Anolis sagrei: one gene and its partners. The protein of the gene in region 1 interacts with the protein of each later gene in a pairwise test. Links are inferred from orthologs where the notes say so. Each region holds a gene or a part of one and is shown on either strand. Other genes may lie near its edges. The genes, in order: TASOR2, ERH, KLHL40 and NEK6.

Evidence for each region.
Region 2: the proteins of TASOR2 (region 1) and ERH interact in binary tests that used the Homo sapiens proteins (3 or more experiments, as listed by UniProt). The two-hybrid records come from large-scale screens. The link is inferred for Anolis sagrei from reciprocal best matches to the Homo sapiens genes TASOR2 and ERH.
Region 3: the proteins of TASOR2 (region 1) and KLHL40 interact in binary tests that used the Homo sapiens proteins (3 or more experiments, as listed by UniProt). The two-hybrid records come from large-scale screens. The link is inferred for Anolis sagrei from reciprocal best matches to the Homo sapiens genes TASOR2 and KLHL40.
Region 4: the proteins of TASOR2 (region 1) and NEK6 interact in binary tests that used the Homo sapiens proteins (3 or more experiments, as listed by UniProt). The link is inferred for Anolis sagrei from reciprocal best matches to the Homo sapiens genes TASOR2 and NEK6.

Annotation. Positions count from the first base shown.
Region 1 is NC_090025.1:194,106,031-194,113,974, reverse strand, and holds the start of TASOR2 (protein TASOR 2), read left to right. Parts: upstream 1-4,892; 5' UTR 4,893-5,632; intron 5,633-7,944.
Region 2 is NC_090021.1:283,410,242-283,417,211, forward strand, and holds the start of ERH (enhancer of rudimentary homolog), read right to left. Parts: upstream 3,009-6,970; 5' UTR 2,905-3,008; coding exon 2,902-2,904; intron 122-2,901; coding exon 34-121; intron 1-33. Other genes in the region: SLC39A9 (zinc transporter ZIP9), read left to right, coding at 3,690-3,785. UniProt on the Homo sapiens protein: May have a role in the cell cycle.
Region 3 is NC_090026.1:127,205,031-127,212,887, forward strand, and holds the start of KLHL40 (kelch-like protein 40), read right to left. Parts: upstream 3,061-7,857; 5' UTR 3,048-3,060; coding exon 1,680-3,047; intron 91-1,679; coding exon 1-90. UniProt on the Homo sapiens protein: Substrate-specific adapter of a BCR (BTB-CUL3-RBX1) E3 ubiquitin ligase complex that acts as a key regulator of skeletal muscle development.
Region 4 is NC_090031.1:625,919-633,441, reverse strand, and holds the start of NEK6 (serine/threonine-protein kinase Nek6), read left to right. Parts: upstream 1-4,467; 5' UTR 4,468-4,592; intron 4,593-4,864; exon of another isoform or gene 4,865-4,886; intron 4,887-7,523. UniProt on the Homo sapiens protein: Protein kinase which plays an important role in mitotic cell cycle progression. Required for chromosome segregation at metaphase-anaphase transition, robust mitotic spindle formation and cytokinesis.

The DNA of each region.
Region 1 (7,944 bases):
AATACTGTTAATATTTAATTCTATTTTAAATTGTATTGGTTTGACTGTCAGCCACTTTGTGTCACCTTTTTTGAGAGAGAAAAATTGAGGTATAACTAATAATAATAATTACCATTGCATTGCAACATTCTGCTGGGTGTCAAACTGTGTTAATTCTACTGTGTAGACCAGGCATGGGCAAACTTCAGCCCTCCCTCCAGGTGTTTTGGACTTCAACTTCCACAATTCCTAACAGAAGGTATTGCCCATGCCTGATAGAGATGCAACCTGGCTCTTCTTGCATGTTTATCCCTTTCTTGCAACATGGACATTCCCTCCATGGCTTCCATCCCCACATTCTAAAAACACGTATGTTTTTGACTGGTCTTTATTGACAGACTTCCTTCCCCTCCCCTCTTTCTTTCGATTTGCAAAGCAAGTTTACTCCTTCCAGCTTTCTGTTTCTCTTTTCAAAGCTAGATTAGTCTCTCCCTCCCTCCCTTCATCTAGCTTTTCTTTTTGGAAAGCCTGCTTAGTCCCTCCCTCTTCCTTCCTTTGAAAAGGCAGTTTAGTGTCTCTTTCTTTCTTTCCTTCCAAAGGCAGTTTAGTGTCTCTTTCTTTCTCTCTCTCTTTCTTTACAAAGGCATTTTAGTGTCTTTCTTTTTTTCTTTCTTTCCAAAGGCAGTTTAGTGTCACCATCCCTCTTCCTTCCTTTTCCTTCCTTTCCAAAGGCAGTTTAGTGTCTCCATCCCTCTTCCTTCCTTCCAAAGGCAGTTTAGTGTCTCTTTCTTTCTCTCTCTTTCCAAAGGCAGTTTAGTGTCTTTCTTTCCAAAGGCAGTTTAGTGTCTCCATCCCTCTTCCTTCCTTCCAAAGGCAGTTTAGTGTCTCTTTCTTTCTCTCTCTTTCCAAAGGCAGTTTAGTGTCTTTCTTTCCAAAGGCAGTTTAGTATCTCCATCCCTCTTCCTTCCTTCCTTCCTTTCCAAAGGCAGTTTAGTGTCTCCATCCCTCTTCCTTCCTTCCAAAGGCAGTTTAGTGTCTCTTTCTTTCTCTCTCTTTCCAAAGGCAGTTTAGTGTCTTTCTTTCCAAAGGCAGTTTAGTGTCTCCATCCCTCTTCCTTCCTTCCAAAGGCAGTTTAGTGTCTCTTTCTTTCTCTCTCTTTCCAAAGGCAGTTTAGTGTCTTTCTTTCCAAAGGCAGTTTAGTATCTCCATCCCTCTTCCTTCCTTCCTTCCTTTCCAAAGGCAGTTTAGTGTCTCTCTCTCTCTCTCTCTTTCTTTCCAAAGGCAGTTTAGTGTCACCATCCCTCTTCCTTCCTTCCTAAAGGCAGTTTAGTGTCTCCATCCCTTTTTCTTTCCTTCCTTCCTTCCCTTCCTTCCTTCCAAAGGCAGTTTAGTGTCTCTTTCTTTCTCTTTCCAAAGGCAGTTTAGTGTCTTTCTTTCTTTCCAAAGGCAGTTTAGTGTCTCCATCCCTCTTCCTTCCTTCCTTCTTTCCTTCCAAAGGCAGTTTAGTGTCTCTTTCTCTCTCTTTCTTTCTTTCCAAAGGCAGTTTAGTGTCTTTCTTTCTTTCCAAAGGCAGTTTAGTGTCACCATCCCTCTTCCTTCCTTTCCAAAGGCAGTTTAGTGTCTCCATCCCTTTTTCTTTCCTTCCTTCCTTCCTTCCTTCCAAAGGCAGTTTAGTGTCTCTTTCTTTCTCTTTCCAAAGGCAGTTTAGTGTCTCTTTCTTTCTCTTTCCAAAGGCAGTTTAGTGTCTCTTTCTTTCTCTTTCCAAAGGCAGTTTAGTGTCTCTTTCTTTCTCTTTCCAAAGGCAGTTTAGTGTCTCTTTCTTTCTCTTTCCAAAGGCAGTTTAGTGTCTCTTTCTTTCTCTTTCCAAAGGCAGTTTAGTGTCTCTTTCTTTCTCTTTCCAAAGGCAGTTTAGTGTCTCTTTCTTTCTCTTTCCAAAGGCAGTTTAGTGTCTTTCTTTCTTTCCAAAGGCAGTTTAGTGTCTCCATCCCTCTTCCTTCCTTCCTTCCTTCCTTCCTTCCTTTCCAAAGGCAGTTTAGTGTCTCTCTCTCTCTCTTTCCAAAGGCAGTTTAGTGTCTTTCTTTCTTTCCTTCCAAAGGCAGTTTAGTGTCTCCATCCCTCTTTCCTTCCTTTCCAAAGGCAGTTTAGTGTCTCCAACCCTCTTTCTCTTTCTTTCTCTCTCTTTCTATCTGTCCATCCATCCATCCATCCTATGGCAGTTGGATGGATGAATTATAAAGGCAGTTTCATGTCTCCACCCCTCTTCCTTCCTTCCTTCCTTTGCAAAGGCAGTTTCATGTCCCCATCCCTCCTTCCTTCCTTCCTTCCTTCCTTCCTTCCTTCCTTCCTTCCTTCCTTCCTCTGCAAAGGCAGTTTCATGTCTCCACCCCTCTTCCTTCCTTCCTTTGCAAAGGCAGTTCCATGTCCCCATCCCTCTTTTCTTCCTTCCTTCCTTCACAAAGGCAGTTCCATGTCCCCACCCCTCTTTTCTTCCTTCCTTCCTTCCTTCCTTCGCAAAGGCAGTTTCATGTCCCCATCCCTCTTTTCTTCCTTCCTTCCTTCCATCCTTCCTTCGCAAAGGCAGTTCCATGTCCCCATCCCTCTTTTCTTCCTTCCTTTGCAAAGGCAGTTCCATGTCCCCATCCCTCTTTTCTTCCTTCCTTCCTTCTTTCCTCTGCAAAGGCAGTTTCATGTCCCCATCCCTCTTTTCTTCCTTCCTTCCTTCCTTCCTTCCTTCTTTCCTCTGCAAAGGCAGTTTCATGTCCCCATCTCTCTTTTCTTCCTTCCTTCTTTCCTCTGCAAAGGCAGTTTCATGTCCCCATCTCTCTTTTCTTCCTTCCTTCCTTCCTTCCTTCTTTCCTCTGCAAAGTCAGTTTCATGTCCCCATCCCTCTTTTCTTCCTTCCTTTGCAAAGGCAGTTCCATGTCCCCATCCCTCTTTTCTTCCTTCCTTCCTTCCTTCGCAAAGGCAGTTTCATGTCCCCATCCCTCTTTTCTTCTTTCCTTCGCAAAGGCAGTTTCATGTCTCCACCCCTCTTCCTTCCTTCCTTCCTTCCTTCCTTCGCAAAGGCAGTTTCATGTCCCCATCCCTCTTCCTTCCTTTCTTCGCAAAGGCAGTTTCATGTCCCCATCTCTCTTTTCTTCCTTCCTTCCTCTGCAAAGGCAGTTTCATGTCCCCATCCCTCTTTTCTTCCTTCCTTCTTTCCTCTGCAAAGGCAGTTTCATGTCCCCATCTCTCTTTTCTTCCTTCCTTCCTTCTTTCCTCTGCAAAGGCAGTTTCATGTCCCCATCCCTCTTTTCTTCCTTCCTTCCTTCTTTCCTCTGCAAAGGCAGTTTCATGTCCCCATCTCTCTTTTCTTCCTTCCTTCCTTCCTTCTTTCCTCTGCAAAGGCAGTTTCATGTCCCCATCTCTCTTTTCTTCCTTCCTTCTTTCCTTCTTTCCTCTGCAAAGGCAGTTTCATGTCCCCATCCCTCTTTTCTTCCTTCCTTTCTCTACAAAGGCAGTTTCATGACTCCACCCGTCTTCCTTCCTTCGCAAAGGCAGTTTCATGTCCCCATCCCTCTTTTCTTCCTTCCTTCCTCAGCAAAGGCAGTTTCATGTCTCCATCCCTTTCTTTCTCTGCAAAGGCAGTTTCATGTCCCCATCCTTCCTTTGCAAAAGCAGTTTAGTGTCGCCATCCCTCCTTCCATCATCAGTTTAGTCTGTCTTCCTCCCTTAGCCAGTTTAGTCCTTCCCTCTTTCTTTCCATTCCTGTCTTTGCAAAGCTAGTCCCTATCCCTCCCTCCCTCCATTTATCTATCATATTTGCAAATGCAGTTTAGTACCTCCCTCTTCCTTTCTTTTTTGCAAAGCCAGTTTAGTCCCTCCCTCCCTCTTCCTTCCTTCCTTGCAAAGCCCTTCCTTCCTTCCTTCTTTACTTTATTTCTCTGCAAAGGCAATTTCATGTCTCCATCCCTCTTTTCTTCCTTCCTTTGCAAAAGCAGTTTCATGTCTCCTTTCTTTCCTTCTTTCTTTGCAAAAGCAGTTTAGTGTCTCCATCCCTCCTTCCATCATCAGTTTAGTCTGTCTTCCTCCCTTAGCCAGTTTAGACCCCTTTCTTTCTTTTCCTATCTTTGCAAAGCTAGTTTAGTGTCCCTATGCCTCCCCCCTTCCATCCCTTTATCTATCATTTTTGCAAATGCAGTTTAGTCCCTCCCTCTTCCTTTCTTTTTTGCAAAGCCAGTTTAGTCCCTCCCTCTTCCTTCCTTTGCAAAGGCAGTCTCATGTCTCCTTCCTTCCTTCCTTTGCAAAAGCAGTTTAGTGTCTCCCTCCCTCCTTCCATCATCAGTTTAGTCTGTCTTCCTCCCTTAGCCAGTTCAGTCCTTCCCTCTTTCTTTCCTTTCCTGTCTTTTCAAACCAATCCCTATCCCTCTCTCCCTCCTTCCATCCCTTTATCTATCATTTTTGCAAATGCAGTTTAGTCCCTCCCTCTTCCTTTCTTTTTTGCAAAGCCAGTTTAGTCCCTCCCTCTTCCTTCCTTTGCAAAGGCAGTCTCATGTCTCCTTCCTTCCTTCCTTTGCAAAAGCAGTTTAGTGTCTCCCTCCCTCCTTCCATCATCAGTTTAGTCTGTCTTCCTCCCTTAGCCAGTTCAGTCCTTCCCTCTTTCTTTCCTTTCCTGTCTTTTCAAACCAATCCCTATCCCTCTCTCCCTCCTTCCATCCCTTTATCTATCATTTTTGCAAATGCAGTTTAGTCCCTCCCTCTTCCTTTCTGTTTTGCAAACCCAGTTTAGTCCCTCCCTCCCTCTTCCTTCCTTCCTTCCTTGCAAGTCCTTCCTTCCTTCCCTTTTTCCTTTTCCCAGTTTAGTCCCTCCCTCCCTCTTTCTTTCCACCTTTCTTGCAAAGCCCTTCCTTCCTCCTTCCTTTTTTCCTTTTCCTCCCTCCCTCCCTTCCTAAGAGTGCACCCAAATGTGCATTGCATCAGTTCCCTTTCTGCAGGAAATGCCAGACGCCTGGCCCAGCCAAGGCGGGGACTCCTTCCGGGTCAGTTTTCACTTTCTCTCTGCCTCTCTTGCCTTCGCTTTGTTTTCACTTCCAGGGCAAAAGAGGCTTCCCTCCCCCTCCCTTCCCTTCCCCCCCTTTGCAAAGAAGACTGGAGCAGCAGACATGTTTCCTAGCCTGGCCTTGGCGCATTTCTCCAGGGTCCCAGGTTGCATCCCAGGTTGAGTTGCAGTCCTTGCAAGAGAGAGATTTTTGCAAAGAATTATTTGCAATTTTTGGAGGGTTTTTTGCTTGTCTTCCCTTTGCGACATTGCAAGCTATGGGGAGACTTGGGTGAGACCTCGATTTTGGTTTAAATCTATGTTTTATGACTAGGATTTTTTAGGAATTCCATATATTTATATATCTCCTGCTCCCCTTTTTTGCATCCTTTGCAATTTCCTCTTTTTTTTTGCAACTGGGTGCATTTTTTAAAAGCAAAACTCGGGTCTATCTATCTATCTGTCAATAACTGAGACAGAATTTCCACCGGATCCGTCTCGTGTGAACCCAAAACGAAGTGAATCACTCACTTGCAAGAATCGGGTTTCCTAATTGGATCCAAAGGGAGACCCAGTTTTTTCCCCCCTGGGCCATGGGAAGGCTCCAAGGCTTGAGGACCTGGACACGTGTTGATGGTGAGTGGGAACGTGTGGACGGGAGGACACGTGTCAGGGAGGTCGGGTGGACTCCTGGGTGCATTTACACTGACCCCACTTGGGAGTGTCATGGCTCAGTGAGGTGAGAGTTGTAGTTTTGCAAGGTCCCAGTGGGCACAGGATGCCACCCGAGTGGCTTGGTTCCAGCCCAGTTTCGGTTCTTTTTCCCCCTTCTCTCCTTGGACCAGGCTGGGCTCCAGGGCCGAAGTTTGGTTTCGGTCTCTGGTTTCCCTCGCCAGGCCCTGCCTGGGTCTCCTCGGAAGTCAGGCCCAAGGAGGAAGGAAAGGGAAGGGGAAAGGGAAGCAGGATGAGGGAAGGAAGGAAGGAAGGAAGGAAAGAGCGAAAAGGGAGGGAGGAAACTTGGAGACAAACTAGGAAGGAAGGAAGGGAAGGAGGGAGAAACAAAGAGGAAAGGAAGAAAGGAAGCAAAGAAGGGAGAAACAAGGAAGGGAGGAAAGAAAGGAAGGAGGGAAAAAGAGGAAGGAAAGAGACAACCTAGGAAGGGAGGAAGGAAAGAGGGAGAGGAAGGAAGGGAGAAACAAGGAAGGAAAGGAAGAGGAAACAGGAAAGGAAGGAAGGAAAGAGACAACCTAGGAAGGGAGAGGAAGGAAGGGAGAAACAAGGAAGGAAAGGAAGGGGAAACAGGAAAGGGAGGGAGGAAGGAAAGAGACAACCTAGGAAGGGAGGAAGGAAAGAGGGAGAGGAAGGAAGGAAGGAACAAGGAAGGAAAGGAAGGGGAAACAGGAAAGGAAGGAAGGAAAGAGACAACCTAGGAAGGGAGGAAGGAAAGAGGGAGAGGAAGGAAGGAAGGGAGAAACAAGGAAGGAAAGGAAGGGGAAACAGGAAAGGGAGGAAGGAAAGAGACAACCTAGGAAGGAAAGAGGGAGAGGAAGGAAGAGAGAAACAAGGAAGGAACGGAAGGGGAAACAGGAAAGGGAGGGAGGAAGGAAAGAGACAACCTAGGAAGGGAGGAAGGAAAGAGGGAGAGGAAGGAAGGAAAGGAAGGAAGGAGACAAACTAGGAAGAAATATGAGAAAGGAAAGAAGGAAGGAAGGAAACTTGGAAGTAAGGAGACAAACTAGGAAGGAAAGGGAAGAAAGAAGAAACAAAGGAGAAAATGGAAGGAAGGAGAGAAATAAGGAAGGTAGCTAGGTAGGAAGAAACAAGGGAGGAGACGAACTAGGAAGAAACATGAGGAGGGAAAGAAAGAAGGAAAGAGAAGAAAGGAAGGAAAAAGGGAAAGGGAGGGAGGAGGGAAAAGGAGGAAGGAAACTTGGGAGGAAGGAGACAAACGAGGAAGGAAGGAAGAAGAAACAAAGGAGGGAAAGGGAGGAAGGAGAAACAAGGAAGGAAGGCGAGCAACTAGAAAAGGAGAGAAATAAGGAAGAAAGGAGACAAACTAGGAAAAACATGAGAAAGGAAGGAGAATGAAGGGAGAAACAATGGAGGGAGGAAAGAGGGAAAGGGAGGGTGGAAGGAAAGAGGAAAAGGGAGGAAGAAAACTTGGGAGGAAGGAGACAAAATAGGAAGGAAGGAAGAAGAAACAAAGGAGGGAAAGGGAGGAAGAGAGACTAGAAAGGAAGGAGACTGAAGGAGAGAAATAAGGAAAGTAGTTATAAAGGAAGGAGACAAACTAGGAAGAAACATGAGAAATGAAGGAGAAGGAAGGAAGGAGAGAAACCAGGAAAGAAGGAAGGAGATAAACTAGACAAGAAAGAAAGAAGGAAACTTAGAAAGACAGAAAGCTGTAAGGAAGGAAAAAGAAGTGGAAGGAAGGAAGAAGAGAAAAACCAAGAAGAAAAGAAGGAGATAAACTGGCAAGAATGAGGGGGAGAACTAAGAAAGTAAGGAAAGAGATGGAGGGAGGAAACTTGAAAGAAGGAAGGTTAGAAGAAAGGAGAAGCAAGAAAAGAAGGAGAGAAACTAGGAAGGAAAGGAGGGAAACTTGGAAAGACAAAATTGGAAGGAAAGAAAGGAAACTAGAAAAGAAAGAAGGAGAGGAAACTTAGAGGGAAGAAGAGAAAGTTGGAAAAAGGAAGGAAAAAGAAAAACTAGGAAGAGAAGGAGAGAAGCTGTAAAGAAAGAAGGAAGGAGAGAAGGAAGGAAGGAGAGAAAGTTGAAAGAAATGAAACAGGAGGGGAAGGAGGGAGGGAGGGAAGGAAACTAAAGAAGGAAATGAGAAACACCTGGAAGGAAGAGAAACTAGAAAGAAAGAAAGAAAGAAAGAAAGAAAGGTGAGAGTTGGAAGGAAAGAAGGAGAGGAAACTTAGAAGGAAGAAGAGAAAGTTGGA
Region 2 (6,970 bases), on another chromosome or scaffold:
TTAGCATCAAGTAATCTACAGCAGGAATATTACCTTCCATGCACTCATTCACAGATTCATAATCAGCGTAAGTTCTGCCTTCTGGTCGTTTGGTAGGCTGAACAAGCAAAATTGTGTGAGACTGTACAAAAGCAAACACAACATTTATTTAGACTTCTGAATGTACCAGAATAAAGCATGTTATTTACATCAAATGCTGAAGTGTACTAATCATACAAAAATAATGCAAACACTGAAGAACAATGGCTATTTCCCCCGCCCTGTCCTATTTTAATTTTCTACGTAAAATAGGTTTGTTTTTAAGGATGTATTGCACAATGGGAAAATTTCATGATAGAGAATAGAATTTAACTGAATGTATGTTATGGCCACATGCAGAAAATAAGATGCAATTTCACACTAATTTCAGTACCACCAACAACAAAGCTTTATATATATATATGCATGATTCTAATGTGAACCCCCCTTTTAGAGGTATTTAAAAGAGAGAAAAGTGCATCTTAGAATGAAAGAAATGTGATATATATTTAAAAATGAAGATTTGGAAAAATACTCTTGACAACTAGAATGTTAAGCAGACAAGCTATTTATTGAAGTGCCAACTGCTAGCAGCTTGCCAAATGAAATTATTTTTAAATATTAGGATGATTGCAAGCTTTCTACGTGGGAACATGGGACTGCTTTGGTCATTCATTGAAAGTTTCTGATCAGTACAGCATGCCAGTTAGTAAGTAGTAGACTATGTGGAACAGCTATGTTCACAAAGTAAAAGGTCAAAAAATGAGGCTTACTCTCAGTTAATTGCACATATAACAGTAGCCCAACTACACATCTATTATGGGTACACAGGTGAAATCCTGATATATATAATATATTTGGTTCAATACATTGCTTTTAAATTATGGATATACCTATTACTAATTTTAACAAGTTCTGTCTCTAAGGAAAATAATCAAGCATATATTTTACTAGAAGAAATACACTGAATAAAAAAATAATAATTTGTGAGTGGGTTCTTTTTCAGAGTCCAGCAAAAAGACCTCTTAAAGAAATCTTTCTCATTTGGAGTGTGTGAAATGCTTTTTAAGATAAATTTTTACAAAATATACAATTTACTAGCATGGTTTTACATAAGAGAACCTACAGCTTTAGACTACAATAGCATGGCCCATTATGTTTGGTCTCAGGATGCCTGTAGACAACAAAATCCATGGATGCTCCCAAGTTTCATTCATACACAATTCGAATTTATTTATTTAGAACATTTATATTCCGTCCTATTCTCGACCTCCGAGGAGGGACTCAGAGCGGCTACCAGCAGGCAACAATTCGATGTTAATACAATATAAAAACAGCAATAAAATACACAATTGCATTAAATGATTTTAAATATACATTAAAAACAGTTTACCGGGTTTAAAACATCCTCCACATCAGTCCAAATTACGGTCCATAAAATCTCAACTTCACCATCTATTCTATTTGCAGACGACACCAATTTGGGAAGGATAGCCAATACTCCAGAAGACAGGAGCAGAATTCAAAATGATCTTAACAGATTAGAGAGATGGGCCAAACTAACAAAATGAAGTTCAACAGTGACAAATGCAAGATACTCCACTTAGGCAGAAAAAAGGAAATGTAAAGATACAGAATGGGGGACGCATGGCTTGGGAGCAGTACGTGTGAAAAAGGTCTTGGGGTCCTCGTGGACAAGAAGTTAAACATGAGTCAACAATGTGATGCACCGGCAAAGAAAGCCAATGGGATTTTGGCCTGCATCAATAGGAGTATAGTGTCTAGATCTAGGGAAGTAATGCTGCCCCTCTATTCTGCCTTTGTTAGATCACATCTGGAATATTGTGTCCAATTACACCGCCGTGAGTCGCTCCAGGGCTGAGAACGGCGGTCTACAAGTGCAGTAAATAAATAAATAAATAATTCTGGGCACCACAATTGACATGTTGGAATGTGTCCAGAGGAGGGTGACTAAAGTGATCAAGGGTCTGGAGAACAAGCCCTATGAGGGGTGGCTTAAAGAGCTGGGCATGTTTAGCCTGAAGAAGAGAAGGCTGAGAGGAGACATGATAGCCATACATAAATACGTGAGAGGAAATCATAAGGAGGCTTGTTTTCAGCTGCCCTGGAGACTAGGATGCGGAGCAATGGCTTCAAACTACAAGAAAGGAGATTCCATCTGAACATTAGGAAGAACTTCCTGACTGTGAGAGCCGTTCAGCAGTGGAACTCTCTGCCCCGGAGTGTGATGGAAGCTCCTCCTTTGGAAGCTTTTAAACAGAGGCTAGATGGCCATCTGTCAGGGGTGCTTTGAACGCAATTTTCCTGCTTCTTGGCAGGGGGTTGGACTGGATGGCCCATGAGGTCTCTTCCAACTGTTTGATTCTATTCTACGAATTGTGTCCCTTAAGCGGCTGAGGGGGAAAAGGAAGGGGCCTGAGGCTGTTAGGAATGATGGGAGTTGGAGTCCAAAACACGTGGAGGGCCAGAGTTTGCCCTTGCCTGCTCTACACGGTCCTTAGCGTCCTCTACCAAACGGTGCTGGCACCTCACGAAACTGCTACCTCTCAGGATTCCATAGCATGGCGCCATGGAAGTCAAAGTGGCGTGAAACTGAATTAATTCTCCAGTGTGGATGCACTCTGTCTCGCTAAGGTCGACTTAGGGAAGTCTTGGGAGGGCGAGGAGGGAGGGCTTCGCTGTTTCTCAGAGGCCACGCATAATAGGCTTTGTAGAGACCGACCCTCGCCCCTCGCCATTGCCTCCTCGCCTTTAGGCCCGAAGCCTTCTCAAGTGAACTGCGAGGCACCAAGCGAAAAGCCTCCGCCTCCTTCAGTCAATTCCGAGTCTCTTCGCCGCTCAAAACCCCCTCTCTGAACTCACCATGGCGATTCTTTTCTGTTCGGCTCGGGCGCGAAGCAAACTCCTAACGACTTCTCAACCACAATGCTCCGCGGCCGCCGGAAACTGACTGTAGACTCCAAATCCCGCACGAGAACCATAGAGGTGCCACCGTTTTCTGAGGAGAGCCGCAGGAGGTAGAGCGTCAACAGCGCCAGCCTCGCGAGATCTCACTTCTGCGTTGACTTTTCCTCGCGCGGGAGACGAAAGCGGCCATCTTTGGTCAGGGCGCCGGAGTAGTGTAGTCGAGGCCCGCCTTAGGAATGGCTAGCGGTGGGCGGGGCGGCGTTGACCTTCGTTCGCTTCGCCGCCATCTTAAAATTGGGCGGGAAAGAAAGGAGCGAATCCAGCGAGGCCTGCTCGCTCGTACGCCTCTCTTTCACTGCCAAGTGTTCCGGAAGTTAAGGAAGGGAAGAGGAAGTGAGGGAGAAGCTGCCACTTGGCCCTTGATGGCCGCTTCTGAGGCGGAGGAGGAGGACTCCACTCGCAGTGGCGGCGGTGGGACAGTGAGGGGCAGGTGGTGAGGGCCCGGGGCCTGAACCTGAGGCACTTCCTCCCTTCTCCTCCTCAGGAAGGTTGTGTGAGGGCCTTGGCGAGCTTCCTCTTCTCGCCCGTGCCTCTTCTCGCCCGCCCTCCGTTAGAGAAGGGCCCCCAGCCTCGAAGCAGAGTGCTGCCCGCTTTCCTGCCGCCCACCCCGGGTGTTTCGGGCCCATGAGGCCTCTTCCCTTTCTGGAATTCCCTGGGAAACTGTAACGTAAGAGGAGCCGGCCATGGACGACTTCTTGTCGATCAGCCTGCTGTCTCTAGCGATGCTGGTGGGCTGCTATGTGGCAGGCATCATCCCGCTAGCCGTAAACTTTTCCGAGGTAAGCAGGCCTTCTCTCACTGCTCTGTTCTCCCTTTTCACATCAGAGTGTTAAGAAAGGAGTGCTTCTTCACCAGGCATGGGCAAACTTGGGCTCTCCAGATGTTTTGGACTTCAATTCCTAACAGTCTCAGGCCCTTTCTTTTTCCTCTTCAGCTGCTTCAGCGTTTTAGGCATAATGAGGGCTGTACTGATGCTTTTGCCAAAAACTGGGACATGTACAGAATTAGAAAGATCTCTGTTAAATTCCTATTTATTTATTTGGAGTGCTTCTACTCCGCCCTTCTCAACCCCCTAGGGGGGACTCAGGGCGGCTTAGAAAAGGCACAATTCGATGCCCAACAATTCACAAAGTACAATTTACAATTTAACATCAACAGTTATTACTAGTTAAAACGATCAAATCAATCAATCCCACCTGAACAATCTGGAGGGTCTCATGAACCTGCTTGGGGGGGGGGGGTAGTGCTATAGATCTAACTGGGAGACAAGTCACTACCAAATGTGACACTGATCCCACTCTGGATGACAGCACTAGGAGAATATGATGCACTAATTGGACCCATAAAAGATACTTCACCCCTAAACCTTAAATACAAATGGTGGAGGGCCAGGCTATTCAGCCAAGCTCCCATTTGAACCAGTTATGGCTTGACACTCAGAAAACTGACCTTACTATTACTTTACTGGAATACCTTCTGCAGCTACATTTACCTTTATTGTGCTAAAAACCTATTATGTGCAATTCAGACAATTTGCTGGCTTTAATATCCCATCCTGTGGCTAATGTATGTGTTGGTAGGTTATGATCACCCCTCAGCCTTTGTTTAAGATCAAGTGTACCTTAAGCAGCTGAGGGGGAAAAGGAAAAGTACTGGGGCTGTTAGGAATTGTGGGAGTTGAAGTCCAAAACATCTGGAGGGGCCAAGTTTGTCCATACCTGTTCTATGCTGTCGAATCAGCGCACTTTGATACTATGTTCAGCTTGGAGAAGATGACTGAAATGATCTGAGACAAAGCTCTTTGAGAAGCAGGTGAGGGAACTAGGGATGTTTATCTGGAGAGAGGAAGGCTGAGAGGGGACATGACAACCATGTTTCATAAGTGAAAGGATGTCACATTGAGGAAATGGCAAACGTGTTTTCTGCTGCTCTGGAGACTAGGGGCCCTTCCACACAGTCATATAACCCACAATATCAAGGCAGAAAATCCCACAATATCTTCTTTGACCTGGGTTATCTGAGCCCACATTGACATATATTACAATTCAAAGCAGATAATGTGATATTTTATTCAGTGGTTTGGTTGTATGCTGCAGCCACAGACCACCAACTACAATGCAACCTGAGCCCTGCCGTATGCACAGCAAAGGACCTTCCCATAGCAACACCAGAGGCACTCCAAATGAACAGCTCCTGTTCAAAGGACATTTAGAATAATGCCAAGTTTTTAAACTTCCTTTGTGGTTTTAAATACATTATAATTATGTCTTCAGTTACCTTCTGACGTGATAAATAACGTGGTTAACAGTGAAGGTATTGTTTTATATGTTTTAATGTATCATATAATTCTATTTTAAAGGTTTATTTTATTTGTACATTGCCTTTGAAGGCATTGAATAGTTGCCTAAGTGAAAGCCGCCTTGAGTCCCCTCCGGGGTGGAGAAAGGCAAGATAGAAATAAATAAATGAAAATTCAGCTCTGAGGCCTAGGAGAAACAATGGATTCAAGTTATAGGAAAAAAGATTCCATGTGAACATTCAGAAGAACTTCCTGACAGTAAGCGCTGTTCAACAGGAATATGAACAGCTCTTTATGTGCCTCAGGCCCCTGCTACACTGCCATATCATCCAGATTATCAAAGTAAATAATCCACATTATCTGTTTTGAACTGTATTCTATGAGTCTGTAGTGCCATATACTCCAGTTCAAAGCGGATAATCTGGATTTTAGATGTAGAAGTGGCCTCAGAATGTGATGGAATCTCCAACTCTGGAGGTTTCTAAGCAGATCTTGGGTGGCTGTCCATAGGGACAGCTTTGATTGTGTATTCCTGCATGTCAAGGAGTTGGATTGCATGGCTCTTGTGGACTTCTAGCTCTATGATTCTGTGAACTGCCATGCTATGGAATCCTGGGAAATGTAGTTCCGCAAGGCAAAGACCTTGAGATACTAGAACTCCCAGGACTCAATAGCATCGAACCATGACAGTTAAAGTGAAGTCGAATTGCATTAATTCTGCAGTCTAGATGCATCCCTAGTGGATAAAGTTTCAGTGGATGGGAAATACACTCTTGTAAAAAGGAGTAGGAGTAGGCTTCTTAAAAGGAGTAAGGAAACAAGTAGGAGATCTTAAGGATAAGGAATTGAACAGATGCTCTGAAAGTCTACCAGGAGAGAGAAAACTGCACATTCCAGTTAGCTCTGATCTATATTGCATAATTCTGATTGGGTTCAATTATTTGAGGCGTAAGATGTGACAAAAGCTCTGGTTCCTTAAAAAGAAAATCTTGAGTGATGTGGGATTACCTAGGATTACTTCTGTATGGCAGTAAGCACTTTCTGAGTAAAATCTTTTCAAAACAGATAGCAAAGCATACACCACAATGGTGTTAACCCTTCCCTATGCTATCATAAGCTAATATAGATGTATTTTTGGCAGGTGTTATATTTAAAAATGCACCTGTTCCAACTTACAAATTCAACTTAAGAACAAGCCTACATAACCTATCTTGTTTGTAACTTGGAGACTGCCTGTATATACTTCAGTCTATATATATGTACTCTGAAATGGGTCTCATTGAGGTCAGTGAAGCTTCTAGGGAAATATGGGATTGTAGCAGAATGAGAACACTCAAGGGAGCACTGTAGATTATTATAATATATATACTAATGGGTAAAAAGTAACATGCAATGTGGAAATTATGCTGATTATAGCAGTGTGCGAAGTTTTCTCTCTCTCACTCTGATATCCATAATGTCTACCACCAGGCCTGCATAAATCATAGATCACAAACTTCCCAGCATTCTTGATGTATCTATGAGCTACAGAGGCAGTTACTTACTTGCTTGGATGACCTTATTTTTTCTGACTGGCTAAATAAAAAGCTGGTTCTATATCTCTGGTTTTTCCAAAAGAAATACAGTTAATCTTGTTTTCTAAAACATACAGGGCAGATTATTTCC
Region 3 (7,857 bases), on another chromosome or scaffold:
TATTGAGTTTTCTGCTTCGCCGAGGCCGAAGAGACAACGCGGAGATGGAAGAGGCGGCATCCCAAGCCAGTCTGAATCCAGGTGGTCATACTGCAAAGAAGTAGAAGGCAACCATGGAGATAACAGGTGAACCATCTTGAGATATCACTTAGGACCCTTTGACACAGCCATATAACCCAGAATATCAAGAATATCCACAATATCTGCTTTGATCTGGATTATCTGTGTCCGCATTGCCATATAATCCAATTCAAAGCAGATAATGTGGGATTTTATACAGTTGTGTGGAAGGGGCCATAGTGTTATTTAAAGACTCACATAACTAGTAAATGTTTTGCTGAGATATATAATGCAAGGAGATCAGATGAAGCAACTCCAAGAGTTGGTCATCAGAGTTCTACTTAAAAACCACTAATCAAGGGGAGTCCATTACCCGCTGGGATAGTCTATCCCATGCTCGCCAAAATACAGATCGGATAATCCTGGTTTTAAATGTTATGGGGTTCCTGGAAATATGGAACCCCATAACCCCAAGGGTGCTTTGAAAGTAATCTAATTCTCAATGTAGAGCACATCCATAGCATGTCAAGTGCATGGCTACCCAGACTCTGCTTCAATACCTCCAGCAAAAGAGTGGAAATCATCAATCACTTTTCAAATGACTACTTGGTCAGATTAAGCCACAGCCCACTAGCATTTATGACTGGTCGGACCCATTTGATTTTTATGTCTCTTGAAACCAGAGTATCTCTCTAAACACCAAATGCTGGGATCACATCAGTTTCTATTGTCACCTGTCACTCATTGTAATCAGGATGCTGAGCGGGACAATCCTTTTCTCCAATCTGGGAAGGGATTTGTCCCCCTTTTCACACGTAAATCACAGTATCAAACTGGTCCCAGTTTGGGAGGCACAGCCCTGATTGATCCTGTCATCCCATTTTCTCATCTGTTTTTCCAAAATGTCCCAGTGGATCTTTCCTCCTCCCAATTTCTCCTTGCTTTTATCCACTCCAGCAAACTGAGGCCCCTTCCAAACAGATGTATCAAATCCACATTGAACTGGATTATATGCTAGTGTGGACTCAGATAACTCAGTTCAATGCAGATATTGTGGATTATACATATGGCTGTGTGGGAGGGACCTGAATTCAAAGTATGGATGTAGTTTTCAGATGAGAAGGAGAAGAAGGCACCATCTTGCCCTTCCCAGTAGGCTTTGGCAAAAGCAAACTATTGATGCATTCTTCTTCATTATAAAGTTTTCCCAACTTGACTGCATTCTTATATTTCTTGGTTCCCTTCCACACAGCCCTATATCCCAGAATATCAAGGCAGAAAATCCCACAATATCTGCTTTGAACTGGGTTGTCTGAGTCCACACTCAGATAATGTGGGATTTCCTACCTTGATATTCTGGGATATAGGGTTGTGTGGAAAGGCCCTAAGTTGTATGCATTTTGGTTTTCATTTGTGAAATGTTGGAAATTTTGCAGTATATAGATATTTGTCAGAGTAATCTCCGCCCTCCCAATATGATACGTGAAAGAGGGAGTCAAACTAAAGCTATGCCATAAAGATTAAAATCACTTGGGGTTGACTCCCCATTCCAACAAGAGACGAATACAGCTCTTGGTTCAAAAGCAGAAATATGTGCATTGGGAGGAGTTATCCATTACCTGCAAGAAATAGGAGTTCATTGGATCTTCTTTATTGTCCTCATTGTAGTAAAGTCCCCCTGCTATGAAGACCTGGTTCTCGCGGGTGACCAGGCTGACGTGGTTCTTTGGGATCTGGGCAGAAAGTGAGGCGTAAAAGCACTCATTGGCTGACGGGTCATAGGCCACCGCCCCCGAGTCACTGACCATGAAAATGAGATCTTGAAGAAACATCCCAAACCTCATGGTGTCATTCAAGATCCCTGGGAGACCTTCCTCTGCTTCCTCCTCCTCCTTCTCAACACCGTCTTCCTCTACTCCTCCATTGATGACATTGTCCCCAGCCTTCTTCTCCCCTTTTTTCTTCACTCTTTTCACCACTGCAAATTTCCCTTCATGGGCGTCCTTCACCATCTGCAACTTCTTGAGAAGTTCTGGGCTGGACTTGACCAGAGGGTGCTTCTCCACATGATCCTTGAAGTAATCCTTCTCAATGAGGCGAAAACGGATGCTGTCAAAGACCACTGGCAGGGCCTTTGCTCGGCTCTCCCGGTCTTTGGTTGTGGCCCATTTCATCACCACCTCAAAGACGGACTCTTCCTTCTCGATATTCAGGGAATCACTGGAGATGATGGCAATGAGTTCATCGGGGGAGAGCTGGAAGAATTCCTCATCCCGGGAGATCAAGGCAAAGCGGTCACAGATGAAATCCCGGGCAGCGACTGCCAAGCGGGCACAGTCCAACATCAAACCCAGCCTGAAAATGGCCAAGCAGTTGCTGAGGCAAAGCCGCTTCTGAAGGAAAGAGACACAGACGGTGAAAATGGAAGGGATCTGGAACATGTTGGCCACGGAGAAGATATCCTGAACGTTCTGCTCGGTGAGCTCCAGTTCTGAGGTGTAGATGTAATGGAGGATCTTGCCCATGACGTCTGGATCCACATCTTCTAAGCTGATCTCCCTTTTCTTGCTCTCTTCCATATCCGAGAGGAACATGGCCCTGAAGTAAGGACTGCAAGCTGCCAGGACCAAGCGGTGACATGGAAACTCCTTCCCTTTCACCTTCAGGACACAATCCAAGAACTTGTTGTGGTCCAGCAAGTCCTTGAGACCATCTTGAAGAAGCGTTTGCTGGTAGAGACGTAACTCTTCCGCTTGTTCTAAGGAGACGGCCATGGTTGAAAACTTGTCTGGTCTTCTTCGTTGACCCGGTCTTCCAGCTCTTGTGAACCTGGGAGAGCTCTTTCTTGATTCCTGATGGAGCGCTGACCAAGAATATGAGCCTGGCTGCTTGTCCAGCTGGCTGTGTGGCTCAGTTTCCACAGCGCGAGGGGTTTTTATATATATAGCCACGGCGTTACAAAGCTTAGGGAATCCATTCGGGAGCATGTGTAAGCCGATCACCTTTTAATATGACAAACTGGCCCACCAGGGAGGGATGGCTCTTGCGGAAGGGGAGGGGGACGACACAAGGAGCAACAGCTGTAAGTGTAATTCTAGATCTATGACAGACGCTGTCACGATGATTCACTCAGGAGAGGTATATTTCTTTTTCCTGAAGGTCTTTCGCCCCCAGCCCAAGACTTGTGAGCAGCCCCTCTAGGAACAAGTTACGCCTTGGAGTAAATCACAGCAATGAAGGCTCTAAAATCAGTTATGGGATCTGTGTTTGGGTTCATATCCTTCTATCCCTCTCTTCAGCACATGCACACACATTGGAGCGTACCCACAGATGCCACATCCCTGCTCTCGCCTTCTAAATCCAGCGCAAGGCTTAATGTGCTAAAAATATACTGCAAAGTCAGAGTTGAATAAACAGGGAAGAAATGCCTCTGATTATTTGTTGTGGCATGAGGACATCTCTCTCTCTTCCAAGTCGCGGAGGCTATTGATCATAAATTTGATTCATTGCTATATATATATATATATATATATATATATATATATATATATAATCATAGAATCAAAGAGTTGAAAGAGACCTCATGGGCCATCCAGTCCAACCCCCTGCCAAGAAGCAGGAATATTGCATTCAAATCAGCCCTGACAGATGGCCATCCAGCCTCTGTTTAAAAGCTTCCAAAGAAGGAACCCCCACCACACTCTGGCGCAGAGAGTTCCACTGCTGAACGGCTCTCACAGTCAGGAAGTTCTTCCTCATGTTCAGATGGAATCTCCTTTCTTGTAGTTTAAACCATTGTTTCGTGTCCTAGTCTCCAGGGAAGCAGAGAACAAGCTTGCTCCCTCCTCCCTGCGGCTTCCTCTCACATATTTATACATGGCTATCATATCTCCTCTCAGCCTTCTCTTCTTCAGGGTAAACATGCCCAGCTCCTTAAGCCTCTCCTCATAGGGCTTGTTCTCCAGACCCGTGATCATTTGAGTCGCCCTCCTCTGGACACATTCCAGCTTGTCAATATCTCTCTTGAATTGTGGTACCCAGAATTGGACACAATATTCCAGGTGTGGTCTAACCAAAGTGGAATAGAGGGGTAGCATGACTTCCCTGGATCTAGATACTATGCTCCTATTGATGCAGGCCAAAATCCCATTGGCTTTTTTTGCCGCCACATCACATTCCTGGCTCATGTTTAACTTGTTGTCCACGAGGACTCCAAGGTCTTTTTCACACGTACTGCTCTCAAGCCAGGCATCGTCCCCCATTCTGTCTCTTTGCTTTTCGTTTTTCCTGCCAAAGTGGAGTATCTTGCATTTGTCACTGCTGAACTTCATTTGTTAGTTTTGGCCCATCTCTCTAATCTGTCAAGATCGTTTTGAATCCTGCTCCTGTCCTCAGGAGTAAAGATGTTGAACAGGACCAGGACCAGGACGGAACCCTGCGGCATTCCGCTCGTCACTTCTTTCCAGGATGAAGAGGAAGCATTGGAGAGAATCACCCTCTGGGTTCGTCCATTTAACCAATTCCAGATCCACCTCACCATAGTTTTGCCTAGCCCACATTGGACTAGTTTGTTTGCCAGAAGGTCATGGGGGACCTTGTCGAAGGCCTTCCTGAAATCCAGGTACGCTACATATATATATATGGTTCTGTGCACATGGCTGTTCCAAGTATCTGGATGTTTCAGAGGAGAGGTTATATCCGATGCCACCTCAGGTACAGCAGAGTAAAGATGCCATGTAAAATAAACTTTTTACAGTCAAACCTTCACTTTGGACCTAGAGATTCATAGAGAGGAGTTCTTAAAGAGCTGGGCATGTTTAGCCCGCAGAAGAGAAGGCTGAGAGGAGACATGATAGCCATGTATCAATATGTGAGGGGAAGTCATAATAAGGAGGGTGCAAGCTTGTTTTCTGCTGCCCTGGATGCAATGGAGCAATGGCTTCAAACTACAGGAAAGGAGATTCCACCTGAACACGAGGAAGAACTTCCTGACTGTGAGAGCTGTTCAGCAGTGGAACTCTCTGTGCCGAAGTGTGGTGGAGGCTCCTTCTATGGAGGCTTTTAAACAGGGGCTGGATGGCCATCTGTTGGGGATGCTTTGAAAGTGATTGTCCTGCTTCTTGGTAGGGGGTTGGACTGGATGGCTCACGAGGTCTCTTCCAACCCTAGGATTCTATGATTCTCACTAGCACTGCCTGAACATCAAGCAAAAAGTGGGTGCTAGAAACAATATCATACGAAAGCTGACTGGCACAACTTGTGGATCACAACCAGACACAGTAAAGACATCTGCCCTTGCGCTATGCTCCTCTGCTGCTGAGTATGCATGCCCAGTGTGGAACACATCTCACCACGCTAAAACAGTGTATGTGGCTCTTAATGAGACATGCCGCATTATCACGGGGTTTCTGCGCCCTACACCACTGGAGAAACTACACTGCTTAGCCGGTATTGCACCACCTGACATCCACCGGGAAGTAGCAGCCAATAGTGAAAGGACCAAGGCAGAGACATCTCCAGCTCATCCCCTGTTTAGGTATCCGCCAGCACGTCAACGACTTAAATCTAGAAATAGTTTTCTAAGATCTACAGAGACACTCGCTGGAACGCTTCAGCAAGCGAGAGTCCAAAAGTGGCAGGTTCAAACCCAGAACCTGAACCAATGGCTGATACCAGATGAGAGACTCCCTCCTGGGCACACAGAAGACTGGGCGACTTGGAAGGGGCAGAACAGACTGCGCTCTGGCACCATGAGATGCAGAGCCAACCTCAAGAAATGGGGCCACAAAGTGGAATCCACATCATGCGAGTGTGGAGAAGAGCAAACCACTGACCACCTGCTGCAATGCAATCTGAGCCCTGCCACATGCACAATGGAGGACCTTCTTGTGGCAACACCAGAAGCACTCCAAGTGGCGAGATACTGGTCAATGGACATCTAATCAACTACCAAACTTGCAAATTTTGTGTTTTGTCTGTCTGTTTGTTTGTTTTGTTCTGTTAGAAATGTAATACAATTCACTGGTTGCCCTGACACGACAAATAAATACTAGCAATCTCTCGGTACTCCAGCACAACTCTTTAGTAAACATCCAACTGAAGTTGTAGGATGACCTAGAGTTTCTTAGAAAGCCTATATTAATTAAACCAGTGAATGATGAACTCTTCAATAGTTCAACACTTTAACTGCCATATCCCAATGCTATGGAATAGTGGGAGTTGTAGTTTTACTAGGTCTTTTGCCTTCTGTGATAAGGCACTTAGCCATGTTAGTTCAAGTGGGGTCAAACTGCATTAATTCTACTGTGTAGGTGCACTCTCTGTTTGTTGTTGTTGTTGTTGTTCATTCGTTCAGTCGTCTCCGACTCTTTGTGACCTCATGGACCAGCCCACGCCAGAGCTCCCTGTCGGCCGTCACCACCCCCAGCTCCTTCAAGGTCAGTCCAGTCACTTCAAGGATGCCATCCATCCATCTTGCCCTTGGTTGGCCCCTCTTCCTTTTGCCTTCCACTTTCCCCAGCATAATTGTCTTCTCTAGGCTTTGCTGTCTCCTCATGATGTGGCCAAAGTACTTCAACTTTGTCTCTAGTCTCCTTCCCTCCAATGAGCAGCTGGGCTTTATTTCCTGGAGGATGGACTGGTTGGATCTTCTCGCAGTCCAAGGCACTCTCAGCACTTTCCTCCAACATCACAGTTCAAAAGCATCTCTCTTCCTTCGCTCAGCCTTCCCTAAGGTCCAGCTCTCACATCCGTAGGTGACTACAGGGAATACCATGGCTTTGACTAGGCAATGGATCTTTGTTGTCAGTCTGATGTCTCTACTCTTCACTATTTTATCGAGACTGGACATTGCTCTCCTCCCAAGAAGGAAGCGTCTTCTGATTTCCTGGCCACAGTCTGCATCTGCAGTAATCTTTGCCCCTAGAAATACAAAGTCTGTCACGGCCTCCACGGTTTCTCCTTCTATTTCCCAGTTGTCAATCATTCTTGTTGCCATAATCTTGGTTTTTTTGACGTTTAGCTGCAACCCGGCTTTTGCGCTTTCTTCTTTCACCTTGATTAGAAGGCTCCTCAGCTCCTCCTCGCTTTCGGCCATCAGGGTGGTGTCATCTGCATATCTGAGGTTGTTAATGTTTCTTCCAGCAATTTTCACCCCAGCTTTGCATTCATCCAGCCCCGCACATCCTCGCATGATGTGTTCTGCATACAAGTTAAAAAGGTTGGGTGAGAGGATGCAGCCTTGCCGGACACCTTTCCCAATCTTGAACCAGTCTGTTCCTCCGTGGTCAGTTCTGACTGTGGCTCCTTGGTCCTTGTACAGATTCCTCAGGAGAGAGGGAAGGGGGCTTGAGGTGCCCATCCCACCAAGAACTTGCCACAATTTATTATGATCCACACAGTCAAAGGCTTTAGAATAGTCAATGAAGCAGAAGTAGATGTTTTTCTGAAACTCCCTGCCTTTCTCCATTATCCAGCGGATATTGGCAATCTGGCAATTGGGCACTCTCTGTAGTTGCCCAATAATTAATTACCTTCTCCAACCTCATCTGGATGCTTCAGACTACAGCACTTACCATCCACAGGCAGTCATTGTGGATGATGGGTATTGTAGTCCAACACATTGAAATGCCACATTGAGGAAGACTGATTTGGAATATTGCTATTGACAAATTAAACCTAAAGGAAGTCAACCTGGCTCAGATGATGGGTGCATCTACACTGTCGACTTAATGCATTTTGACCCAACATTGACTGCCATGGTTCAGTGCTATGGAATCCTGGGAGCTGTAGTTTAGT
Region 4 (7,523 bases), on another chromosome or scaffold:
GCCGTGACAGACTCTGTATTTCTAGGCGCAAAGATGAGTGCAGATGCAGACTGTGGCCAGGAAATCAGAAGATGCTTCCTTCTTGGGAGGAGAGCAATGTCCAGTCTCGATCAAAGAGTGAAGAGTAGAGACATCAGACTGGCAACCAAGATCCATTGCCTAGTCAAAGCCATGGTCTTCCCTGTAGTAGTCACCTACGGATGTGAGAGCTGGACCTTCGGGAAGGCCGAGCGAAGGAAGAGAGATGCTTTTGAGCTGTGGTGTTGGAGGAAAGTCCTGAGAGTGCCTTGGACTGCGAGAAGATCCAACCAGTCCATCCTCCAGGAAAGAAAGCCCGGCTGCTCACTGGAGGGAAAGATACTAGAGACAAAGCGGAAGTCCTTTGAATGCCACATCATGAGGAGACAGCAAAGCCTAGAGAAGACAATGATGCTGGGGAAAGTGGAAGGCAAAAGGAAGAGGGGCCGACCAAGGGCAAGACGGATGGATGGCATCCTTGAAGTGACTGGACTGACCTTGAGGGAGCTGGGGGTGGTGACGGCCGACAGGGAGCTCTGGCGTGGGCTGGTCCATGAGGTCACAAAGAGTCGGAGACGACTGAACAAATGAACAACAACAACAATGCCTCTGATCAATGTACTGGTATGCTTGCATGTGAATGATCACTGCAATGGCATCCGCTTCAGCTGAATCGCTCATTAAACCTCGATGCCTCTTCTTCGCCTTGGCAAGAGTCTCATTTCAATTATTAATATCAATAAAATTACTGGAATTAGGCTTCTCTGACGGCTTGCCAAGTACAAGGGACTCTCTTTGGTGCGGTCCTAGAGGTCTCTCTTACTGGGGAGACCCTCCTAAAGTCCGTATTGACTTCATAAGGTTTCACTGGGTAGTTGTAGGTTTTCTGGGCTGCCTTTCCATGTTTTGGAAACATTCTCTCCTGACGTTTCTCCCACATCTATGGCAGGCATCCTCAGAGGTTGAGGGGTTTGTCAGAAAATGGTCAAGTTGGACTTATATACCTTTGGAATGATGTCCAGGGTGGGAGAAAGGACTCTTGTCTGTTGGAGGCACGTTTGAATGGTGCAGCTGGTCACCTTGATAATAATAATAATAATAATAATAATAATAATAATAATAATATTTTTTGGTCATGTCAGGAGCAACTTGAGAAACTGCAAGTCGCTCCCGTTGTGAGAGAATTGACTGTCTGCAAGGATGTTGCCCAGGGGACATTGCCTGGATGATTTGGTGTTTTTATCATCCTTGTGGGAGGCTTCTCTCATGTCCCCTTTGCATGAGGAGCTGGAGCTAATAGAGGGAGCTCATCCACCTCTCCCTGGATTCAAACCTGCGACCTGTCACTCTTCAGTCCTGCCGGCACAGGGGTTTTATAATAATAATAATAATAATAATAATCTTTATTTATACCTCGCCATCATCTCCCCAATGGGGACTCGGGGCAGCTAACATGAGGCCAAGCCCAAAAATGCAATACAACACAATAAAATACAGAATACAGAAAGAAAATTACATCGGAAGATAATTACAATTGTTGTTGTTGTTCATTCGTTCAGTCGTCTCCGACTCTTCGTGACCTCGTGGACCAGCCCACGCCAGAGCTCCCTGTTGGCCGTCACCACCCCCAGCTCCTTCAAGGTCAGTCCAGTCACTTCAAGGATGCCATCCATCCATCTTGCCCTTGGTCGGCCCCTCTTCCTTTTGCCTTCCACTTTCCCCAGCATAATTGTCTTCTCTAGGCTTTCCTGTCTCCTCATGAGGTGGCCTTCAAAGGACTTCCGCTTTCCCTCTAGTCTCCTTCCCTCCAATGAGCAGCCGGGCTTTCTTTCCTGGAGGATGGACTGGTTGGATCTTCTCGCAGTCCAAGGCACTCTCGGAACTTTCCTCCAACACCACAGCTCAAAAGCATCTCTCTTCCTTGGCTCAGCCTTCCCTAAGGTCCAGCTCTCACATCCGTAGGTGACTACTACAGGGAAGACCATGGCTTTGACTAGGCAATGGATCTTGGTTGCCAGTCTGATGTCTCTGCTCTTGACTATTTTATCGAGATTGGACATTGCTCTCCTCCCAAGAAGGAAGCGTCTTCTGATGTCCTGGCCACAGTCTGCGTCTGCACTCATCTTTGCGCCTAGAAATACAAACCCTGTCACGGCCTCCACGTTTTCTCCCTCTATTTCCCAGTTGTCAATCATTCTTGTTGCCATCATCTTGGTTTTTTTGACGTTTAGCTGCAACCCGGCTTTTGCGCTTTCTTCTTTCCCCTTGATGAGAAGGCTCCTCAGCTCCTCCTCGCTTTCGGCCATCAGAGTGGTGTCATCTGCATATCTGAGGTTGTTCATGTTTCTTCCAGCCATTTTCACCCCAGCTTTGCATTCATCCAGCCCCGCACATCCTCGCATGATGTGTTCTGCATACACGTTAAAAAGGTTGGGTGAGAGGATGCAGCCTTGCCGGACGCCTTTCCCAATCTGGAACCCGTCTCCTGTTCCGTGGTCAGTTCTGACTGCGGCTCCTTGGTCCTTGGACAGATTCCTCAGGAGAGAGGGAAGGGGGCTTGGGATGCCCATCCCACCAAGAACTTGCCACCATTTATGATGATCATTCACACAGTCCAAGGCTTTAGAAGAGTCAATGAAGCAGAAATAGATGTTTTTCTGAAACTCCCTGCCTTCCTCCATTCTCTAGCATCCGGATATTGGCACTCTGGTCTCTGGTTCCTCTGCCTTTTCTAAACCCAGCTTGAACATCTGGCCACTCTCTCGCTCCATGTCTGGCTGGAGTCTTCCTTGCAGGATCTTGAGCATTCCCTTCCTGGCATGATGAGAAATAAGGATCACCGCCTTGTTGTGGCGCTGGAGCTTGAGCACCTCAATGATGTCATGAGCGAAACCGTGAAGGGCCACCCAAGACGGGACGGTCGTGGCAGAGAGGTCAGACCAAGCGTGATCCCTGCGGAAGGCAATGGCAAACCACCCCAGTATCCTTGCCAGGAAAACTAAATGGACCAGATTACAACAGCAAAGTAAAATAATAAAGCAAATTCACACAAAATAAAATCGAACAAGATGGGCAGGCCAAATGGACAAGGTGAAATAATAAAATAATAATAATAAAAAAATTAGCATTGAATGCCCTTGCAGCTTCAAAGCCTGGGTGCTTCCTGCCCTTCTGGGCATCTTGCCTAGTTTCCAACAGACCCATTAATAAGCCACGCCCACTCCCGAAGCCACGCCCCACACCCTCCCCTCATTTCTCCAATCCGGCTCCGCCTTCCTATCCTCACGCGCATGCGCGAGTCAGCCTCTCTTTTAGACGGGAACGGAGAGAAAGGATAAGAAGGGGGCGGGGCCACCAGCGAAGCCACGCCTCCTTAAAATTATACCAAACTGACGCCTTCCTTCCCATGCGCATGCGCGCTCCAGAGAGTGTCTTTTTTGACAGGAACGAATAGAGGTAAAACGAGAAGGGGCGGGGCCACAAGGAGACCACGCCCCCTCTCTCCCCTTCATTTCCCTTTTCTAATCCAGAAGCCTTCCTTCTCAGACGCATGCGCACACGCGTGTGTGTATCAATCTTGGAGGGAAACGAGAAGGGGCGGGGCCACAAAGAAACCACGCCCCCTTTCCCTTCATTTCTCTGACTCCTTCCTTCTCAGACGCATGCGCACACGCGAGAGAGTGTCAGTTTTAGAGGGAAACGAGAAGGGGCGGGGCCACAAAGAAACCACGCCCCCGTCCCTTCATTTCCCTGACTCCTTCCTTCTCAGACGCATGCGCACACGCGAGAGAGTGTCAGTTTTAGAGGGAAACGAGAAGGGGCGGGGCCACAAAGAAACCACGCCCCCTTTCCCTTCATTTCCCTGACTCCTTCCTTCTCAGACGCATGCGCACACGCGAGAGAATGTGTGTTACTCTTGGAGGGAAACGAGAAGGGGCGGGGCCACAAGGAGACCACGCCCCCTTTCTCCCCTTCATTTCCTTTTTCTAATCCAGACTCCCTCTTTCTCAGACGCATGCGCACACGCGAGAGAATGTGTGTTACTCTTGGAGGGAAACGAGAAGGGGCGGGACCACAAGGAAACCACGCCCCATTTCCCTTCATTTCCCTGACTCCTTCTTTCTCAGACGCATGCGCACATGCGAGAGAGAGAATGTGTGTCAGTCTTGGAGGGAAACGAGAAGGGGCGGGGCCACGACGAAGCCGTCTTTTTCCTCTCACGCATGCGCGATAGAGAGAGAGAAACGCTTGAGTTCTGAGACAGGAGCGGAAAGTAGGGGGCGGGGCTAGCAAGGAGCGGCCTGCGTGGCAAGCTTCTTAGCGAGGGTCGGGAGCGCGCACGCACGGCGCACGCACGCCTTCTCCTCTCTCTCTCTCGCGAGCGCGCACGCTCCCTGTGAGAAGAGAGTTTGGAGTGCTGCTGGCTCTTGCCCGGAAGGGGGCGGGGGCGCGCGGCGGCGGGGGCGTGCCTCGGGGGCGCGCCTGGGCCTGGAGTTTCCCCCTCAGAGACAGAGAGTGGAAGGGAGCGCGCCTGGGCCTCTCTCTCTCTCTCTCAGCCAGGCCTCTCCGGGCAGGTAAGGCAGGCCTGGCCTCTTAGGCCTCGGCTTCTTTCTTCACCTCAACTCCCTCCCTCCCTTGAGTTCCCCTCACTCCAAAGCCCCCCCTCCCCTTTAAACCCTCGCTGTCAATCATTCCCCCCTCTGAGGGGGGCGGGTCTTCCTCCTTCCCTCCCTCCCCCAAGGACACCCCCGCCCTCAGGAATGCCAATGGAGGGGGATTGTTTACTTCTTTGGGTCTCCCTTTGGGCCCCCTCCACACACCTGTATCCCTTCCACATGGAACTGGGTTACACGCCAGTCTGGACTCAGGTAACTCAGTTCAAAGCAGGCCTCCTGCTACCCCTCTATTCTGCTTTGGTTAGACCACTTTACCTGGAATATTGTGTCCAATTCTGGGCACCACAATTCAAGAGAGATCTTGACTCTAAGCTGGAATGTGTCCAGAGGAGGAGGCAGACTCAAATGATCCAGGGTCTGGAGAACAAGCCCTATGAGGAGCGGCTTAGGGAACTGGGCATGTTTAGCCTGAAGAAGAGAAGGCTGAGAGGAGACATGATGAGGGCCATGTATAAATGTGTGAGAGGAAGCCACAGGGAGGAGGAGGGAGCAAGCTTGTTTTCTGCTTCCTTGGAGACTAGGACGCAATGGGACAATGGCTTCAAACTACAAGAGAGGAGATTCCATCTGAACATGAGGAAGAACTTCCTGGCTGTGAGAGCCGTTCAGCAGTGGAACTCTCTGCCCCGGAGGGAGTGTGGTGGAAGCTCCTTCTTTGGAAGCTTTTAAGCAGAGGCTGGATGGCCATCTGTCAGGGGTGCTTTGAATGCAATATTCCTGCTTTTTGGCAGAATGGGGTTGGACTGGATGAGGGCCCAGGAGGTCTCTTCCAACTCTTTGATTCTATGATTCTGGGTTGCATGGCTGTGTTGAAGGGCCCTGAGTCAGGAATGCCAATGGATGTTGATTGTTTACTCCTTTGGGGCGCCCTGGGTCTCCCTTTGGGCCCCCTCCACACAGCTGTATCCCATCCACATTACAGTTACAATGGAACAGCCACCTGACACAGGGATGCAGTCGTTATATCCAATGGCTGAATCCATGACATTGTTAATCTCTCCAACGTCAGAATGGGAACTGATCAAATCTGGCATGGTGTCATTTCCAGGTGAGTTATGTAAAACTGGGTTAAATGCCAGTCTGGACTCAGGTAACTCTTCCCCTTTCGCCAATCCTTGATTTCCCGGTTTACATGCCTGTGATGAAGGGCCCTGAGTCTACACACATGTATAACCCAGTTCAAAGCAGGCATTGTGGACATTGTGCCTTGATTTCCAGAGTTAGATGCTTGTGATGAAGGTCCCCGAGTCTACACACATGTATAATCCAGTTCAAAGCAGGCATTGTGGACGATCTACCTTGATTTCCAGGGTTAGATGCCTATGATGAAGGCCCCTGAGTCTACACACATGTATAATCCAGTTCAAAGCAGGCATTGTGGACATTGTGCCTTGATTTTCAGGGTTACATAATACAATATTATAATTATAGGTTTTATATTACATGTAATATTACTAATATTGTAGCAATATAATGGTATAGTACAATATAGTAATATATAATACTTATATTGTACTATGCTATATATATATATAGTAAGCCACTCTGAGTCCCCTTCGGGGTGAGAAGGGTGGCATATAAATGCCGTAAATAATAATAATAATAATAATAATAATAATGTGGCTTGGCCGAGCCCAAATACAACAATAAAAACAGCAGCAGCAACAACAACACAATAACTCAAAAAAACAAAAAAACAAAGCAATAACATTAACAACATCTAATGACGCAATTAAAAACAATGGCCGGGCCAAATGTAATAATTCAAATTAAAAAGTGCTGAGCATGGCAAGGTGGGGTGTTTGGAGGGGGATGGGCATATAAATGAATACATGGCTGTGAGAAGGTCCCTCAGTCTACATGGACATATAATCCAGTTCAAAGCAGATCTTGTGGATTTTATATAGCTGTGTGTAATGGGCCTAGTTGTCTAGTTGCCCCTTCTATGCTGCCATATAACCCAGAATATCAAAGCAAACAAAGCACATGATCTGCTTTGAACTGTGTTATACGGCAGCGTAGACTCAGGGCCCTTCCACGCTGCCATATAACAAAGATTATCAAAGCAGATAATCCACATGCTTTGCTTTGAACTGGGTTATATGGCAGTGTATATGAAAAGATGTTCTAAAGAACAGGGAGTCAGGTTGGTGTTCTGCTGCCCTCTCCAACATTAGTACCAAAAAGGTTACGAATCAGTTTTTGGTCAACTTTAGATTTGGTTTGGTTATTTGGGGTGCTGATTCAGAAAATTGCATTGGATAGACCACATCAGCTCCAGTTTCTAATACAGAACACATGCCATCCAGTAGTCGCCATCTGCTCGGCCAGAGAAAACCAGGGACCACTCTCCAACATAAGTACCAAAAGGGTTATGAATCGGTTTTTGGTCAATGTAAGATTGGGTTTGGTTATTTGGGGTGCTGGTTTTGAAAATTGCCTGTGATAGACCACATCGGCTCTAGTTTCTGATACAGAACATATGCCATCCCGTAGTCTGCTCTTCCACAGGGACCACTCTCCAGCATTAGTACCAAAAAGCTTACGAATCAGTTTTTGGTCAACTTTAGATTAGGTTTGGTTATTTGGGGTGCTGATTCAGAAAACTGCATTGGGTAGACCACATCAGCTCAAGTTTCTGCTACAGGACATATGCCACCCAGTAGTCGCCATCTGCTCGCCCACAGAATACCATATTTAATAAACTTCGGCACTATAAGAGGGCTTTGCAAGACCAGACGCTCTCGTTTCTCCCTTTCGCCTTCCGTTAGTTCCTCTTTGAATTCTGCAGCACTGCTGGTCACAGCTGACCTCCAGTTAGAGTGCTCA